Yarrowia lipolytica: one gene and its partners. The protein of the gene in region 4 interacts with the protein of the main gene of each other region in a pairwise test. Links are inferred from orthologs where the notes say so. Each region holds a gene or a part of one and is shown on either strand. Other genes may lie near its edges.

The links.
Region 1: the proteins of YALI1_C16255g (region 4) and YALI1_C30884g interact in binary tests that used the Saccharomyces cerevisiae proteins (3 or more experiments, as listed by UniProt). The link is inferred for Yarrowia lipolytica from reciprocal best matches to the Saccharomyces cerevisiae genes BZZ1 and LDB17.
Region 2: the proteins of YALI1_C16255g (region 4) and YALI1_D02546g interact in binary tests that used the Saccharomyces cerevisiae proteins (3 or more experiments, as listed by UniProt). The link is inferred for Yarrowia lipolytica from reciprocal best matches to the Saccharomyces cerevisiae genes BZZ1 and APP1.
Region 3: the proteins of YALI1_C16255g (region 4) and YALI1_F39272g interact in a two-hybrid assay, tested with the Saccharomyces cerevisiae proteins (2 studies listed by BioGRID). The link is inferred for Yarrowia lipolytica from reciprocal best matches to the Saccharomyces cerevisiae genes BZZ1 and BOS1.

What each region holds. Positions count from the first base shown.
Region 1 is NC_090772.1:3,086,268-3,090,256, forward strand, and holds YALI1_C30884g (uncharacterized protein), read right to left. Parts: upstream 2,187-3,989; coding exon 540-2,186; downstream 1-539. Other genes in the region: YALI1_C30859g (uncharacterized protein), read left to right, coding at 1-271; YALI1_C30901g (uncharacterized protein), read left to right, coding at 3,921-3,989. UniProt on the Saccharomyces cerevisiae protein: May be involved in protein-linked oligosaccharide phosphorylation since the deletion reduces the negative charge of the cell surface.
Region 2 is NC_090773.1:251,663-256,115, forward strand, and holds YALI1_D02546g (uncharacterized protein), read right to left. Parts: upstream 2,942-4,453; coding exon 554-2,941; downstream 1-553. UniProt on the Saccharomyces cerevisiae protein: Mg(2+)-dependent phosphatidate (PA) phosphatase which catalyzes the dephosphorylation of PA to yield diacylglycerol. May play a role in vesicular trafficking through its PAP activity at cortical actin patches.
Region 3 is NC_090775.1:3,925,997-3,929,169, forward strand, and holds YALI1_F39272g (uncharacterized protein), read right to left. Parts: upstream 1,213-3,173; coding exon 532-1,212; downstream 1-531. Other genes in the region: YALI1_F39261g (uncharacterized protein), read right to left, coding at 1-160; YALI1_F39291g (uncharacterized protein), read right to left, coding at 1,775-3,130.
Region 4 is NC_090772.1:1,623,176-1,627,602, forward strand, and holds YALI1_C16255g (uncharacterized protein), read right to left. Parts: upstream 2,708-4,427; coding exon 2,642-2,707; intron 2,331-2,641; coding exon 513-2,330; downstream 1-512. Other genes in the region: YALI1_C16204g (uncharacterized protein), read left to right, coding at 1-190; YALI1_C16275g (uncharacterized protein), read left to right, coding at 4,335-4,427. UniProt on the Saccharomyces cerevisiae protein: Plays a role in endocytosis and trafficking to the vacuole. Functions with type I myosins to restore polarity of the actin cytoskeleton after NaCl stress.

The DNA of each region.
Region 1 (3,989 bases), about 1.5 Mb from region 4:
GGCTATCGATCGGTGTGTTTCTCATGTCTCTTCAACCACTTTAGGGCTCAGAAATGTGACACTACCTAGCCCTCCATTTGCGACACCAGATCGAAGTCAGACCAGAGACTGGCCGCCGCTACTCGTAGATACTACAGTACTTGTAGTACATACTCTGATTGATCTAACAGAAACCTTCCTGGCGACGGTTCTACAGCTACTCACTCCTCTAATATTGTTGGATTGTGTTTTGAACTATATACAGTATTGTGGTAGTATAAATAGATGCTGATTTGGACTCTGTTATGTCCTCCTGGTCCATTTCCTTTTACTTGCCTCACATAGACCCTCTTGTCAGTGTTGTGTACTCTTGCCATTGTCAAGACTCTTACCAAATGAACGGTGACAAGACTCTGAGATGATTCAATGGTATGCGAGCCCTGACTCCATGGAACCATGGAACTAGAGTATCACAAGACCAGCCTCTATCTCTACCTATGACCGTCCCTCAAGGATGATTGCCTGGTCATACTCATGCTCTGACCCAATAACTCCATCTCCTACTCCCGCTCGGCAACACTTAAATCTCCCACGCTGGTATTTCTGATACTCATGTCGAGCAGTTTCTTTCTGCTGGGAGGCAGCCGCGGCTTCTCCTTCTTGTCCTTCTTGTCACGAGACTCCTTCACGTCCTTCTTCGGCGCAGGAGAATTCCTGCTCGGCGGCGGAGGAGGAGCTGGACTCTTGACCCGTGATATTTGCGGCATCGGAGACTTGCCTCTAGACGGAGGAGGAACGGGAGGCCCCTTGGACGACGCACGTGACGGTGGAGGCGGTGGCGCAAGCTTGAGTGAGGAAATGAGCGATGTGGTGGATGACATGGCCGAATTGGTGCCCAGAGAACTCTGACTAAGTCGCCGAGTACCACTGAAATCGGTCATACCAATGCTGGGCACTCGGATCTTTGAGGGGCTCTCCTCCTCGTTGAACGAGCCGATAGAAGAACTGGGAGAGGGGGGAACGGTGCTCATGGGAGACGGGAACGTGTACTCCAGCCACGGGACTCCGAGACATCTCACAGCCAGTCGTAATGTCGTCTCTGATACTGGAAGGAAAGTACTACTTCCCTTGTGACCTGAAAGCATCTCCAACACATCAGTCAGACCCTCAATCTTGTACGGCTCGTGTCTGATTTGGGAGTTGACCATAAGTGGGTGGAGAACTCGCAAATACGTGTTAATGAGCTGCTCTTCGTCATTGGGCAAGTCGTGGAGCTCTCGAATGAACACGTCGATGAGCACCAACAGATCGTTTGTGTAGAAATACTCATAAGTGGGTTCATTCGTGAACAACAAATACAACAGCTTCAGACCCATGATCTGAAGACATGTATCTATCGCTCGATTCAGTAACAGCACCAACTTTGCGCCAAACTCCACGTATCCGTCGATATCTAGGGAAATCAGATCCAGCACTTTACTCGAATAAATCCCCGACTCTTCGTCTTCATCGTAAGCTGCAATCATATACTGCTCATTGAGACAGAGCAAGACTTTCATGACGGAAGCGTCGTACAGCGAGGTATCGTCTCTGTCTGCGTTGACAACGGTCCTCAAGAGCGAGTCGATAAACTTGTCGGAAATGTTTTCCAAGTCTGACGTGGAAATTCGCTGGATTTTGCACATTTCAAACGTGAGCTCGAGCAACACTCTTCTGAGCCGTAAAGCCGACGTCTTCTGAAACGTCAGCAAGAGCCGAGTCAGCGCATGGCATGCGTTTTCCTCTTGCATCATTTCCAGAGTGGCGGGATGCGAATCAGAGTCTATGAGCAGAATCAAAGACACCACCGCCGCCAGGTCTGTGTATTCCTCTGCCAACGTCAACATGGCGATCAATTTGCGACGGGTGAAGGCTTTGTGGAGCGTGAAAATCGGAGAAGTGGTCAGCTTGTATCCTGCTCGAAAGAGATCGTTGTCGGAGACGAGAAAATCAGATAAATGTTTAGTTGCAAATAGGAGGTAGTCCTTCAGTGCCGACTCGACCACGGGATATGAGTGGGTCTTCACAGAGACTATATCCAGCAGTTTGGTCCAGAAGTCCGAGTCCGACATGTCGCCATCTTCTTCTGGAGGAATGGAAATGTCCGGTGCAAGAAGAGGCTCGTCTGAGACGGAGCTCATGAGACTTTCCAGTAGTGTTTCCATCATTGGATTGATAGAGTGAACCGGTTAGCGATGATGGGCTGTCTGTGAGCTGAGTTAGTATGGCGGTCTTAGCTGAGTTTGACCTTTCCCCTTGAGATAGGGCATATTTACTCACCAATGATGGACCGAAACGAATGTGGTCAATGTTGTAGTTTAGTGGTCAGTGTGGTCAGTGTTGTAGTTTAGCAGTCCGTGCTCGACGTGCAAGTCACAAATGGCTTCGTCTCTCTCTCTCTCTCTCTCTCTCTCTCTCTCTCTCTCTCTGTTGGGAGTCGATCACCTCGGTCTTGCTCAAGTCTCGACGTGATCCAAGACGGGATATCACGTGATTTCCAATCAATTCAAACCAATGGTCAAATCACGTGCAACGCGCCTGTTGATCTGGTCGTCGTTGCTGTTCCTAAATGCTCAAATGTCGCCGCGGCAGTATCACGTGGATGTAAATAAACAGTCCCCAGAATTCCACGGCTGTTCTCGTCGGTTGCTGGTCGGAATTGGCGCTCTTGAATGGTTTCTCCCCGTATATCACTTGAATGGGTCTCTCTGTCTCTCTCTCTCTGTCTCTCTCTGTCTCTCTCTCTCTCTCTCTCTGGAGCCCCTGGTCTTTTTGTGCCGGTTTTTGATCCCCCGCGCCGTGTGTGTAAGTGGTTACTGGTATCTGAATCTGGGAAGGGCTGTATCTTTTAGGACCCAATGCCCCCACCTCCCAAATGCACGCTCTTTCTAATCTGGGGTGATGGCAAAGTTTATTGGGGAGCGAATGGAGCAGTAAGGGTGGTGGTAAGGGTGGTGGTAAGGGTGGCGGTAAGGGTGGCGGTAAGGGTAGTATTCCGGTAAGGGTAAGGGTAAGGGTAGTGATCCGGATCGGGTAGTATCCCGACCCTGATACTGCCAATAATACCTAACCCATGTTCTTTTCTCTCATGGCTTCACTTGCTCCGAACTCCCGCTACTTGTACATATCCCAATATGGTTGCCCTTGCAGAAAAAGTTTCAGCGAAAATTGGCGTGAGGTATTAACATGGTTCGGGGAATTTAAAAATAGACCGTGGGAGCTGGCCCGGCCGAGAACGGGACGTTTGGACGCCTCAAAATGGAGCTGTCGACGAGGCGAATCTCGTGATATGCTTGGTTTTTCTCTGGCTTCGATTTTGGTCGATTCGACACCCTTGTCGGACAAGTTTTCAGGTCCGATGCGGATCAGGCGGAGTTCTCGAGCAGTTTGAAGGGTCACGTGATGTAGAGGCAGAGTTTAGTAAGGGGGAGTTAAGGGGTGGTTTAGAAAGGCCATTAGTGTTGTATTTTTTGTTTCTGTCAGTTCTTGTCCCTGGCTAATGAGTTGGGCGGTGGTGGAGTACAGTACATTGTCAGAAGCACAGGTTGTGGCTTGTTGTCTGGGGGGTGAGAGTTGGTGAATGATTTTGGGATTATTGCTTGTTCTTTTGTGACTTGAATCTTTTCTTTTGCAATCAAAATCTTCGTTCTTGATGGAGTTATATCGTTCCGTTCCACTCAACTACCCCAACTACATTCCTCCATTTTGTTAACTAAATTCATCAAATCCCCAACTACGTTCTTTCAATTTCCAACTAATGTTCTCCTTTATTCCAACTAGATTTCTTCATTTTGTCACCATCCTCCGAATTTCCAACTAATTCCTCCAATTCCCAACTACATCATCCATCATCCAAACGTTAATCGCCAACCTGATGCACACCACTTCAACTCTCCAGCAACATGTTCAAACGAAAGAAAAACGCGGGACAGAAACGAACCACCATAATCGACTCGGATTCGTCGTCCGAA
Region 2 (4,453 bases), on a different chromosome or scaffold from region 4:
GACAAAAATTCCGAGACTAATGTCTTTTGGTATAATCCCATCTGTTCTTATTGTGCCCAGGAAGAGCTGATTGTGGAGTCGTTTTTGTAGGTCACGACTCACACAGCCCCGCTGCATATAGCCGTGTATTCGATAGCCGCCGAGGTTGAAGAATGACCAGAAACACTCGAGAGTTGACGTTCAATGGATGACAACCTCTCGCCCATAGAAATAGTTTGTTATCCTCATGCCTAGTTCGTTCCTCTCCGGCCTTGGTTGTACTACTCTCTCGGACCTGAACTTCACCAGTATCTCTGAGGTTTATAGAACAAACCAATCGATCAGAGACAGTATAGAGAGATACGCTGAACTGTCAATGTCACGCAGTATATCACTACATACTGTACACTCCTACAACACAGCAAATCCTACTTGAAAAATTAACAAGGTAAAATCTAATCAAATAATTTAAAATGCTACCGTTTCCAGAAAGGCTCGTTGTTCCTACTGTACTTCAGTCTAGAGCCGCTCTAGATCACGACTCGCTTCAGCTCTGGGTGAGCTTTTTACATGACTATAACAGCTCCTTAATAGGTTCCTTTTCCACCGTCTTTGCCAGCTCCAGTGTCTCCCCTTCGACCTTTGGAGGCTCCTTCCATAGTCTCAATCTGACATTAGCAGGTAACTCCCTTCGCGCTCGTCTCACCCGCTCCTTCCACTTGAACTGCCGATCATTGTCAGAGTACAGTCTAGGTGTCTCATCCGTCTCCTGAGATGCTGCCACGTTCATAGATCCACTGGTGACCTGATCAGAAATGCTTCTCATAGTCTCAGGCTGAATCTTGCGTCTCGGAGGCAGAGGGGGGGCTCCATAGGCCGCTGTAGCAGCGATGGCAGCATTGGACGCAGCGGAGTCCGGTTTTCCAGTGTGTTCTCGGTCGACGTTCTCATCGGTCTTCTTTCCAGCAAGACCAACGGGCTTTCTAGGAACAGGAGGAGGCACTTTCTTGCCGATAGGAGAGTCCATGAGGTTTACAGGCTGAACAGGCTTGCGCGCCACTTTCATTGGTCGTTCTCGTTCATCAGCCTCCTTTTTGAGAGCAGCAATTTCGACTCTAAGAAAGTCGTAGTCCAGTTCTCGGTCAGACGTAATGTCTCGAATATAGATGCCGAGAATCTGTTGGGGATAGACCTTGGCAAGTTCCACGTAGGCCTCCAGATCACCCTCTCCGGAGTCTCCAACGAGAATGAAGCGTCGCTGGGGGAAGTCTCGCAGAATCTGCTCCAAATTAAACTTCTTTCGTTCAGCAGGGGCTTCAAAAAGCTGAGACAAGACTCCAGCGTAGTCTTTCAGATGAATGGATCCTCTAGGGAAGCCGTGCATGTGCAAATACTCCTTGATGACCGGGTACAGCTGCCAGGGTGAATTCGAGACGTAATGGGTCTGAACACCCAGTCCTGACAACTTGTTGTACCACTCCACCACTCCAGGGATACTCAGGCCGTCCAGATCCTTCACAAACACGTTCTTGATCATGGCCTTTTTGTCTCCAGTCACTCCAGTGTGTTTGATGGTGTCATCAATATCGGAAATCAGAGACACTCCCTCATATGACACATCGATGAGATCCTGCTGGACCGAATAGGGTGTGTTTCTGACATGGATTTTCATGATTGTTGGCTTGAAATCGAGCCGCAAAGCAGTTCCAAACTTACCCGAAGTGTGGGAATGCAGAGTCGTCGACGTGGCGTGCTCATTGTCGTCTATAATGGTGACATCGAGGACGGCGTTGACGAGCGGCTGAGCCACAAATGGCGCAAACCGCTCCTTCATGATTGTGTCTTCCAGGGAAGAGTCAGCGGGGAGTGATTGAGAACTGGCAGTGGAGTCCAGCGAGATGCTGCTGGCAATAGTGGTTGTTCTGCTGGAATAGATGCGACTAGCAGGGGGAGGGGGGACTCGTCTTCTACCGGCAGTAGGGGAATCACGCGAGGGAGATTCATATCCATCCCTCACGGATGAAGCACGTGAAGAAGTAGTCGATCTAGACGAAACCGACTCAGATCCGTCCAAATCAATCAAATCCGGGGTACTGGCACTCTGTGCTCCATTTCTGAACCCCCTAGTACTCATTCGGCCCTGTCTCTCCTTCTCAATTTCTTCCAATGCGGCAATATCTCGTTCCAGTTTTTCCTCGGAGTTGCCACTGAGATACGATCTGACCATGTTCAGAATAAACCGGTTCTTTCGCGACGTCCATTCTCCAGGCACAGAGATGGTTCCCTTAATATCCACCTCATGGGTTCCATCAGGAAGCATTCGAGAGTAGGTGGGGTAAGCTGTGATTGTGGGTGCCAGGTTCGTCTCCGACAGATCCAACGGCTCGTTGTTCTGGGTCAATTTCTCAGCCACAAACGTTTCTGACTTGGTCTTGATGGACTGCCAGATTTTGCGCGTGTTGTATCCACTCATTCTCAGCCAGTGCTTGAAGTAGTATGGTTTTCGGGTCGCTCTGTAGTAGTACAGCAATCGGGCAATGTCTCGTCCCTTGGGCTGACCGGCCTTGTGTCGTTTCTTGCGCTCTTCGCGTTTCAGGCGCCGTTCCAACCGCTGCTGTTTGCTCCAGCGGGTGAAGATGGACTTGAAAAACCGGTAGACAAACGAGTGGCGTTTCTTGACAATGTAGGGGGCCGGAGGGGGCTGAGAGGCTGGTGTTAGAGCAGTGACGACGTTTTTCGACGGCTTCAAGCTCCGTTTGTGTTCGAACCGGAGCGCTCCTTTGGGTCTGGGGGACGCGACTACTGTGGTGGGCTTGCGTGCGGTGGTGGCAGTAACTTCTTTTTTAGCCGATAAAAAGGCGTTCTGGAGGGTCGGCGAAAAGTGTCTTTGGTGGACGAGTAACGGGCGACTGAGCGGGGCACGTGACGCGAGAGACAGCCGCGTGGATCGCGCCAAAAACATGATACCGGTGCAGCGAATCGATCGATCACAAGTTCGGTTATCCAGACACACTACAAGTACACTTCACTTTCGGACAAGACAACAAGAGACCAGTCCAAAAAGTATAATCCACGTGTGGTGTATGTATGGATGAGATGGGAGATGGCAAGTAGAGGTCACAAGAGAGGGTCAGAAGAGCAGAGACCAAAGAGGAAAAGGGTCGTGTGGTGTCTCGCACATGATATACGACTCGAAAGCTTTTTTTCTTTCTCTTTCTTCGCGGCGGTTTACCCCAGTAGCGTCTCTTTGGGGGATGCTGCTATGTATCACTTGCTATTGTGCTGCCTCACTTGTATGCAGGTTGCACGGAGACACACACAGGTGGACTTTTTGGGGGTAATCTATAGAGATGTATTACATACATACAACTGCAGAAATTTATATCACGTGTCCAACAACGTATCCCCACTATCCGGCTTACTAAACATCCCGTTTAGACTCCTCCTACAGCACTACTTGTAGTACATACGAGTACTTGTACTCTCAAACAACCGTTAACAAGCTCATCTCGCACAAGCAAACTTTATTGGAAAAGGGCAGAGCAACGCAACACAGCAACAAGACGCCCAAATGGAAGTTTTAATGAGAGAAAAGGGTCGCGAACACTTGTAAATCGACATAACGTGTCCTGTCATTCCCTCTTGGGTGTGTGTGTATGCTGTATAGTCATGTTGGGTTTATCCGTTTGGCGCCTCCGGCTCGATAACGAAAGCTTAAGCAGTCGAGTGTTCTAAATTCAGTTTTGCTCTTAACCTGAACAAGACAAATTCAGAGCCGCATAGATATGGAGGTTTGTTTTGGGCACTGATCAGGTGATATATTACTTGGATATTGTATTTTATGGTATCTATGTGATCGGGGAAGCTGACAGATTAGGACTATTATAAAATATGAGTTACATTTTGCAGTAAACACGAGAGGTGGTTGTTCTCAAGACACTATGAAAAGTTATCTAATTTTTTTTTTGTAACTGTCTCGAAGTCAACAAATCAAAGTAATTTTGTTTGCAATCCAAGTAAGATTTGTGACGAAACTTTGGGGGACGAAATCGTTCCAGAAAAGAAAAAAAAAAGACTTTTCAGAAGCCTATTGTAAGTATCTGTGTAAGATTCAATTACGGTGTCCCCCTACGGTGTAATATAACCCCCCCTAGAACCAAACTGCCCACTCATTGTTGGGTCTCTACGCATATTCTAAACCCCATGAAGCAGCTACCATGTACACAAGTGCGCCATGTATCTCACGCCACAATTACGTAATAACAAAAATACACACACAATTGTCACCCTCCTCGAGGTCCACAGATTGATTCCCCGCTATATATATATATATATATATATATATATATCCTAATAACCCCACTGTGTAGTCCCCAAACCCCCCATCCCAGATTCCCTCGCCACCGAATCCCACAACCCTATCGAGCTTAAACCTCCGCTTACCAAAGCTGTCGTTAAAGGAGATGGAGGTATA
Region 3 (3,173 bases), on a different chromosome or scaffold from region 4:
CTACATGGGCACACAGAGCCATGCGAGCAGGAGTCTCGTTGGGCTTCATTGGAATTGTCTGAGCCTTGCCCATGAGCGTGGATGCGAGATTTGTCACCTCCCTTGGAATCGGAACGTTTCCCACCAGCTTGACAATCTCCGCGTTGATTTGTTGGTTCATGGTGAGTGTACTGTTGCGTCACATCCAACTTTTCAGATTGTCCCGTTCTTGTATTAAACTATTAGAGTTTGGGTGGATAACACTGATCAGGATATGATAAAAGTTCGTATGTAGGAGCCAAGTAGGAGTGATAGGGACATGCCCTACGGTATGTAGATAACTCATAGTTTTGTCTCACTTGTAACTATATACAGGTAGTCAATTTCCGTATCATCCTCCTCAGCATGTCCACCATTATCTATTATTATATGTAAAGATTGTTCCACCGTTAATTAAACCGTACCTGTTCTCTCTCACTCTGGGCTCTCTGTTTTGTTTTGTTTTGAGTCGCGTTGTTTTGTTTTTATGACCATTAGCTTGCTGGTCGTCTCCTAACTGAACCACTTCAAGATGTAATAGAAACACACGAGCATGAAGACGATGCCTCCGTAGAAAAACCGTTTGTCCTGTCGTGCTCTCTTCTCCACCATCTTGATGGTCTCTCGAGACAGACCCAGAGTCTCGGCCACAGACCGCATCTTCTTTCCGGTGCTTCTCAAAATGTCGCTCTGCTCCTGCAAGTCGCCCAGAGCAGCCATTCCCTGCTCAATGAATGAGTCGAGCTGCTGGCCCACCTGGTTCAGAGACGACTGTTCCCTTTGCATGCCCTCTTCTCGTGTAAGATCTGTGTAGGTCGGCTGAATCGGCACGTCTCGGTTCACGTTTCTGTTTCGCGACTCGCCGTAAGGGTTGTCTCCAAACAGCGCCGTTTTGTTCTCCTCTAGCGTTTTCTCTTCTCGGGCCGATCTGAGGTTCTTGAACTCGCTTCGTGCGTCGGCCAGCTCTTCACGAAACCGAGCCAGACGTGCCTCAGCCTTTTCCTTCTTCTCCTTGTTGTGTTCCTTGTTGATAATTTCCGAATAGTCGTCCAGGGTTCGGCTGAAGGAGGTCATGGTAGCCGAAATCTGGCCTTGTAGCGACATGGGCGCCCCTGCGGGGTTGGCGGAGAACTCGGACAGGTCCTTCTTTAAGCTGGCATTCTGCTTCACCAGATGGTTGTGAATCGCGTTCATGGTGAAAGTAGCTAGTTTGCGGTACGAGCCCTCGTTGTTTGTTAGATGACGTGTTAGGTTGGTGATGTATCTCCAAGGTGTGAGTAGTTCCAACAACCTAAACTTTTATTGTTGTGGTTGGCACAATGTGATGTGCACGGGATGCACTGCTTTCGGAGTCAGGGGTACAAAAATGGATTTATGGAAAGTATGGCGAGGTTTTTGGAGCTGAACTACAAGTAGAGGTTTAGATAGCGCAAGAATTTTTTCAAGGGGCCGTTAATAGGACAACGTGCTTTTTTTTTCTTTTTCCCCTGCATACAAGTACCAGGTGGAGCTGAGTCCAAGTAAACATCTACTAAACTTTGAACTAGCTGCTCGTTCTTAACAAGCTTCAGGCTGTAAATTGTACAAATGCAGAAGAAAAAAAAAGTTGGCTACGAGGGCATCACAACTCATCAATAATAGATAGCTATGCAGCTATACAAGCAGGTTCGTACCCGCTCATAAGCAAGCCCGCAAGCTTGCTCACTCTCCCCTTCTTCCGTGAAGACTCTATTAGCTATGTACAAATAATTCTCCCTTAAGTAACGTACTTTCGAGAGTAAGCGACCTTCTTGTCGAGAGTGCTCATTCGGCCCTTTCGCCACATAATGACAAGCATGACGGTGGTAAACACACACACGCCGTACCAGGTGGCAATATACTGTAAATGGGTGTTTCGAAGATCGACCTTGGGCAGCTTTCCAATGGGCACTCCATGGTTCATCATATGGGACTCGGTGACCCACTCGTGGCCTCCGAGGCGCATGTTGAGCTCCTCCTCCAAGTAAATGTTCTGAGCTCCGGTGAACTTGGACATTGTCGGAATGTCCATGAAGTTGTAGATTCGGACACTGGGGGAAGTTGGGGAATCGGGAGTGAACATGTTCTTGAGAGGAACAGGTCTGAGCAGACAGACGAGAGAAACCTCGCCCTTGGGCAGAGCGAGAGGGTCTCGTTTCTTTTGGTCCGCCATCTCCTTGGAAATCCAGCCTCGCTTAATCAGCAGCTTGGATCCACCGGTCTTAGATCGGTCGAGAGGAGTCACAAGGAAGTAGCCCTCGACAGAGTCCTTCATTCGAGGTCCGACCAGGAACTCTTCATCGTGGCACAGTGTACCAGTAACCACCACCTTTCGGTACTCAAACTCTCTCTCCAGAACCTCCTGGTCCTCGGTAATGTGTCCAGGCAGGGGCAGAGGCTCCTGGAGAAGTCGGTTCTCACAATCGGCAATCTTGTCCACCTTCCACTGCAGACGTTTGACTTGCCATGTGCCAAGGTAGCCCGAAATGATAGGCATGAGGGCACAAAGACCGAGGAAGACAAAACGCTTTCGGTTCTTCTTCTGTGATTGCGGCTCTGGCTCGTCGCTCTCCAGCTCGTTAGCTCCAGACTGCTTCTTCTGCTGCTTAGGTTCTTCACTGTTGGTGTTGAACATGTTTTTGTTGTTAAGCAGAGCGCTTCTGGTCGAAAACTGTCGAGAGGCACATTGAGGGGTCAGTGTAGTGAAGGCAGGAGCTGTGGTGGAAATCCTTCCAATGCGGCTAGCGCCATATCGAGCCACTCTGAGAACTTGCATTGTTGATGAGGAAAAGTGGCTAAGTTTCGATATAGAATTGAGTATCTGCACGTTGTGCTGACTAAGTGTGGCTAGTTTGGGAGATTGTGGCGCAGTAGCCAATCGGCGAACATGATGCGGAACATGTTTGAGCGCACTAAACCACATTAAAAGTACTGAGACAGATACTATAAGATTCATGGAATTATCCCTTGTACTGTACGTATACTTGCACCTGCTATATTCGCCACAGATTAGGACGGAATTGGAGTTTTTAGTATGTGGTCTACGATTGTGCTGTTTGTCCACTTCACAACTACCCTCTGTGCTGAGTAGCATATGTCATGGTGGCATCTTCCGGCTGTGTTTGTCTCTGTTACAT
Region 4 (4,427 bases):
GATGGGTGCCCCTACTCCAGGTGCTGCTCACCATCCTTGGGAAGATTCTGCTCCGACACCTGCTGCCTATAACGACGCGCGAACTCCGGGTGTCTATGATCCTCGAGGTTCTGGACCTGCTCAGGCCGAAACCCCTGCAGCCTGGTCCACGGATGATGCTCCTCGATATGATGATTCTCCCACTCCTTAGTGGGACGTGTGTGTATAATAAATGATTGTGTATTATTCTGCAATATAGATATGAGCGGCTTCCGCGTAGAGGCAATTGTGTGGCTGTTGTACATTACATACTATACTGGTGTAAGTGGTAGATTGAACTTCTGGGCGGTGATCTTCGATTACCAGCGTACTGTACTTGTATGATTAATACCATCAGCGCGTATATAATTACGATCGCACTGTAGGTGAACAAAAAGTAGCAATATCATTGAACAAACAACTGACTTATTCGTTATGCTTTATACCACTCGTTAGCATCATAGCTGAAAAGTTCGAGTCGTTGGTCTCATCAGCTACTCCACGTAACTTGTGGGGAAAGCACCTCTTTGTCCGTTCAACTCTCCCTCCGTCCATCCATCTCTATCGGGCTCCACCACCACAATCTGGTCACCGGCCTTGATCGACAGCTCGGTATCGTCCTGGGCATTGTAATCATACAGTGCGGTGACGTAATCGACCTTTTTGGCACCCTGTTTGGGCGCGACAGGAGGACCCTTTCGTTTGATTGAGAACGCAGACTTCAAGCTTCCACCTCCACCTCCAGAGGATGGTGTGGTGGCACTCTTGGGAGGGTTCATGTCGACATATGAAGCAGGCACAAGTCCGTCAGTGCCATCGCTCTTCCGCACTCGAATCCATCCAGAGCCATCATCGGTCTCAAGAACAGTCACATGCTCGTTTTCGGAAATGAACACCTCGTCGCTTCCCTGAGGTTCATATCTATACAACACCAATGCAGAACTCTCCTTGTTCCATGGAATGGGGTCTCCTTCTCTGTATGTTAGAGTGTCCAGAATCAACTTTCCCGTGCCGCCAAATCCTGAGGTGGTGGTGTTGCTTCGTTTCACCGGTGTCGGTTCCGGAATGTTTCGATCAATCTTCTTTTTGCCAAACAAGAAGTTGTGTCGTTTCTTGATCACAACGGGTTGGTATGAGTCGAGATCCTTCTCACCAGTGTTGTGTTTGATGGTCTCAGTTTCGACTTCTGCAATGGTACGCTTGGTGTCGTCCACCGTGAGACTTCTCAGAGCGTTGATAGACTGACTAAGCAGCTCAAAGTGGTTGTTGGAAGCTGAATCAGAGTCTGCCTCGGCCAGCTTCGTTGCCTTTCGCTTCTCCAAGTCCTGGAAGCCGGCCTCCTTGGACGCAATAGTGTCTTCGAACTGGTGGCTGAGTCGCTGCGAGTCGCCCAGTACAGTATGCAGGTATCTGAGAGCCACATCATCGAGAACCATGTTCTCATCGTCGTGCCAAATAGGGCACGGCTCGTAAATGAAGTCGATGGGTTCCTCCCATCCGTTAGGGGCAATATTGTGCTTGGTGAACATGGCAGAGTCAAGAACGGGATGGTTTTGTGCAACCATTTCAATGGTAGCGTTCATATGCTCGGTGCATCGATTGTTGCATGCAATTTCGAGAGAAGCAGCCTTGCTCAAGAGTCCGTTGAGCAGCTTGACTCGTAGTTCGTTGAGTTCCTGGTATCTATCCAGCAGTTCAGGAACATCCTGGTGATAGTACTTGTCCTTGAGACGGTTGGCGACGTTGATCTTTACAAGATACATATTTTTGGCGTCGTTCATGTCGGCGTTCTTCGACTCAAGCTTCCGTTCCAACTTCTCCTTAGATTGACCAATGAGACCGCCCAGCGCTCCTCCCTTTTGGCCCTTCATCCGCTGGTTCTCGACAGCCTGGCAGGCGTCGTAGTAGCCGTTTTTGGTCTTCTTGAGCAGCGAGTAGTATCCATCTCGGTCCTCAATCAGCTTCTCAGAGAACGTTTGCAGGTTCTTTCGGACGTTTTCACTTTTCAGGGACAGGGCATGGACCTGGTCGGCGATTTGGAGGTTGAGCTCGGACGCCAGACGGTTCTTCTCCTTGGCCAATGTTTCGGTCTGGGTCAAAATTTCTCCCCAAGTGACAAGAGATGCGGATTCAAGAGACCCAGGAGTGACTTCAGGATGTTCTCCGACTGATAGAACGGAAGACACTCGAGCTTTCTTCTCAAAGTACTTAGAACTGAGCGAAGAGAGCTTCTGGGAGTACTCTTTTTCAATGGAGGCTCGTTCTCGGTAGAAGGACTGAACATCCGAGAGGAAGGCGATTCCGTGTTGAGACTGTGTTAGTAAGAACTTTGAGTGAAGTTGCAGAGGATAATGGAGATAATTGGCGCCTAGCCACGTCTCCTCGTGACTCCAGAGAAACCCGTGGATTGGCCCAAATAAGACTCTCTTGGATGCGAAGATGGAGGATATACCAGACAGGGCTTACTATACCTTCATCCGTTGCTACGGAGCCGTTTATAACAGAAAATATCACCGCCAGCTCAAGAATCACACCAATACCGACACTTTCTTATCTCCCCCTTACTCCATACCACGAGTCTTAGTCACATCATGTGGACAGCTCCCTCACTTCCCACACTCACCCAATTGTCCACCTTCTCCCAGCCATCGAGCAGCTCGGTGCCCATGCTAACTTGAACGTCCGCCATGTTGATGTTGTATTCTGGTTCCTGTAGCTAGTGGTTCACGCAGGTTGTTCACGACATGTGGCAGGATAATGCGGGTTGCCGTGGAGACGCAACACGAAACGCTAAAGGGTTACCCGGATTAATATCCGTAGAGATCTGGCAGGTGGATGGAGCAGGAGAGCCGTGACAAGGATGGTTGAGAAGCCCGCATCCAGCTGGATTTATTTAATGTAGTGACGGTTCAATATCACGTGTCCGACACGAAGCATCTCCCTCGTTTTGAAATTAACTTGTGTGGGGAATGTTGACTGGTAATGTAATTTTTCGGAATAAAGCCAGCGTGTAGACATCGATTAGCGGCTGGCGTTTCGATGATGGCAGTGCACGTCACGGGTACAGCCACTTTCGGGGTTGTGTCCCTACCAGAGATGGCGGTGGAGATTTGAAACGATTAGTGACGTTTGCTTAGTCACATTTTCTTAGTCACACTTGCTTAGTCACGTTTGCTTAGTCACGTTTGCTTAGTCACACTTGCTTAGTCACGTTTGCTTAGTCACGTTTGCTTTTTCATATTTGCTTTCTATGTTTGCTCTTTTCATCGCTGGGGGAATGCAAGGACGATGTTGAGTATTCGTATCGAAAAGTAAATACTATCTAAGTAGCCTTGTGAATGTATAGTTGCGTAATTGTTAAAGTGGTAATTAGGTGATTATAGAAAAGTCCAAGTACGATACTGATCAACCTTGCCACACTCAAAGACGGGTAACCCTTAGACCGGGTAATTGCATTGATACGCGTAGAAGGACCGTCGATCGATAAGAGTGGTGGAGGACTGAACTCGGTTTTTGACCGGTCGAGCCTCGGCCTCGTCCTTGAGTGCCTGCAGAGGTTTGAGGAAGGGGAGAAACATTGAATTCGACCATTGATGAAGCTGAAACTGGATACAAGTCTCTTTTTTTTGGTTCTATTCACTCACTGCAATTCCCTGTGCGTTAGAGTAAATTGGTCGTGCTTCCTATATGTTGACATTCTATAAGCGACTTCTGGACAGTGGTGTAAAATCAGCAATAAGAAGACCATGGAAGTAGTGTAAGTTTCGGAACAATTATCAGCTTGCAACAATCTCAATTGGGTGCTGGAGTCCGTCCCTTGTCATCAGAATATTCACCCTCCAGAGAAATTTCTAGAGCTTCGGCATGTGCTTATTAATACAAACTCTAAAATGCAACGCTTAACTGAAAGTATATTTAGCTGATTTCGATTGCTTGTAATTAATGGCTGCAAACAGGCCCAAAATGAAGGTAATTAAATGTAGTGGACAGATTTTGTGGATTTGTATAAACTATTCATTTGACTTTGGCCCTCAATTCGTCACTGGAGAGTGTTACCCACCCCGGAATCGAACCAACACCCCCCTTATTTCCCAAACCCTAACTTTAAAACTACCCTAGATACATACACACAACACTTGTTTTTTTTGTACATCTACCACAACCATCATGTCTGGTGAGTATCACCCCTAATACGTCTCGTTCCAAGCGCTAACACAGTCGATTTCAACACCCTCGCCAAGCAGTTCTGCGAGTTCTACTACCAGACCTTCGATACCGACCGGTCTCAGCTCGGTAACCTCTACCGAGATCACTCTATGCTCACCTTCACCGGTACTCAGCACCAGGGTGCCCAGGCTATCGTTGAGAAACTTGTTGGCCTTCCCTTTGGCCAGGTCCGACACAAGATT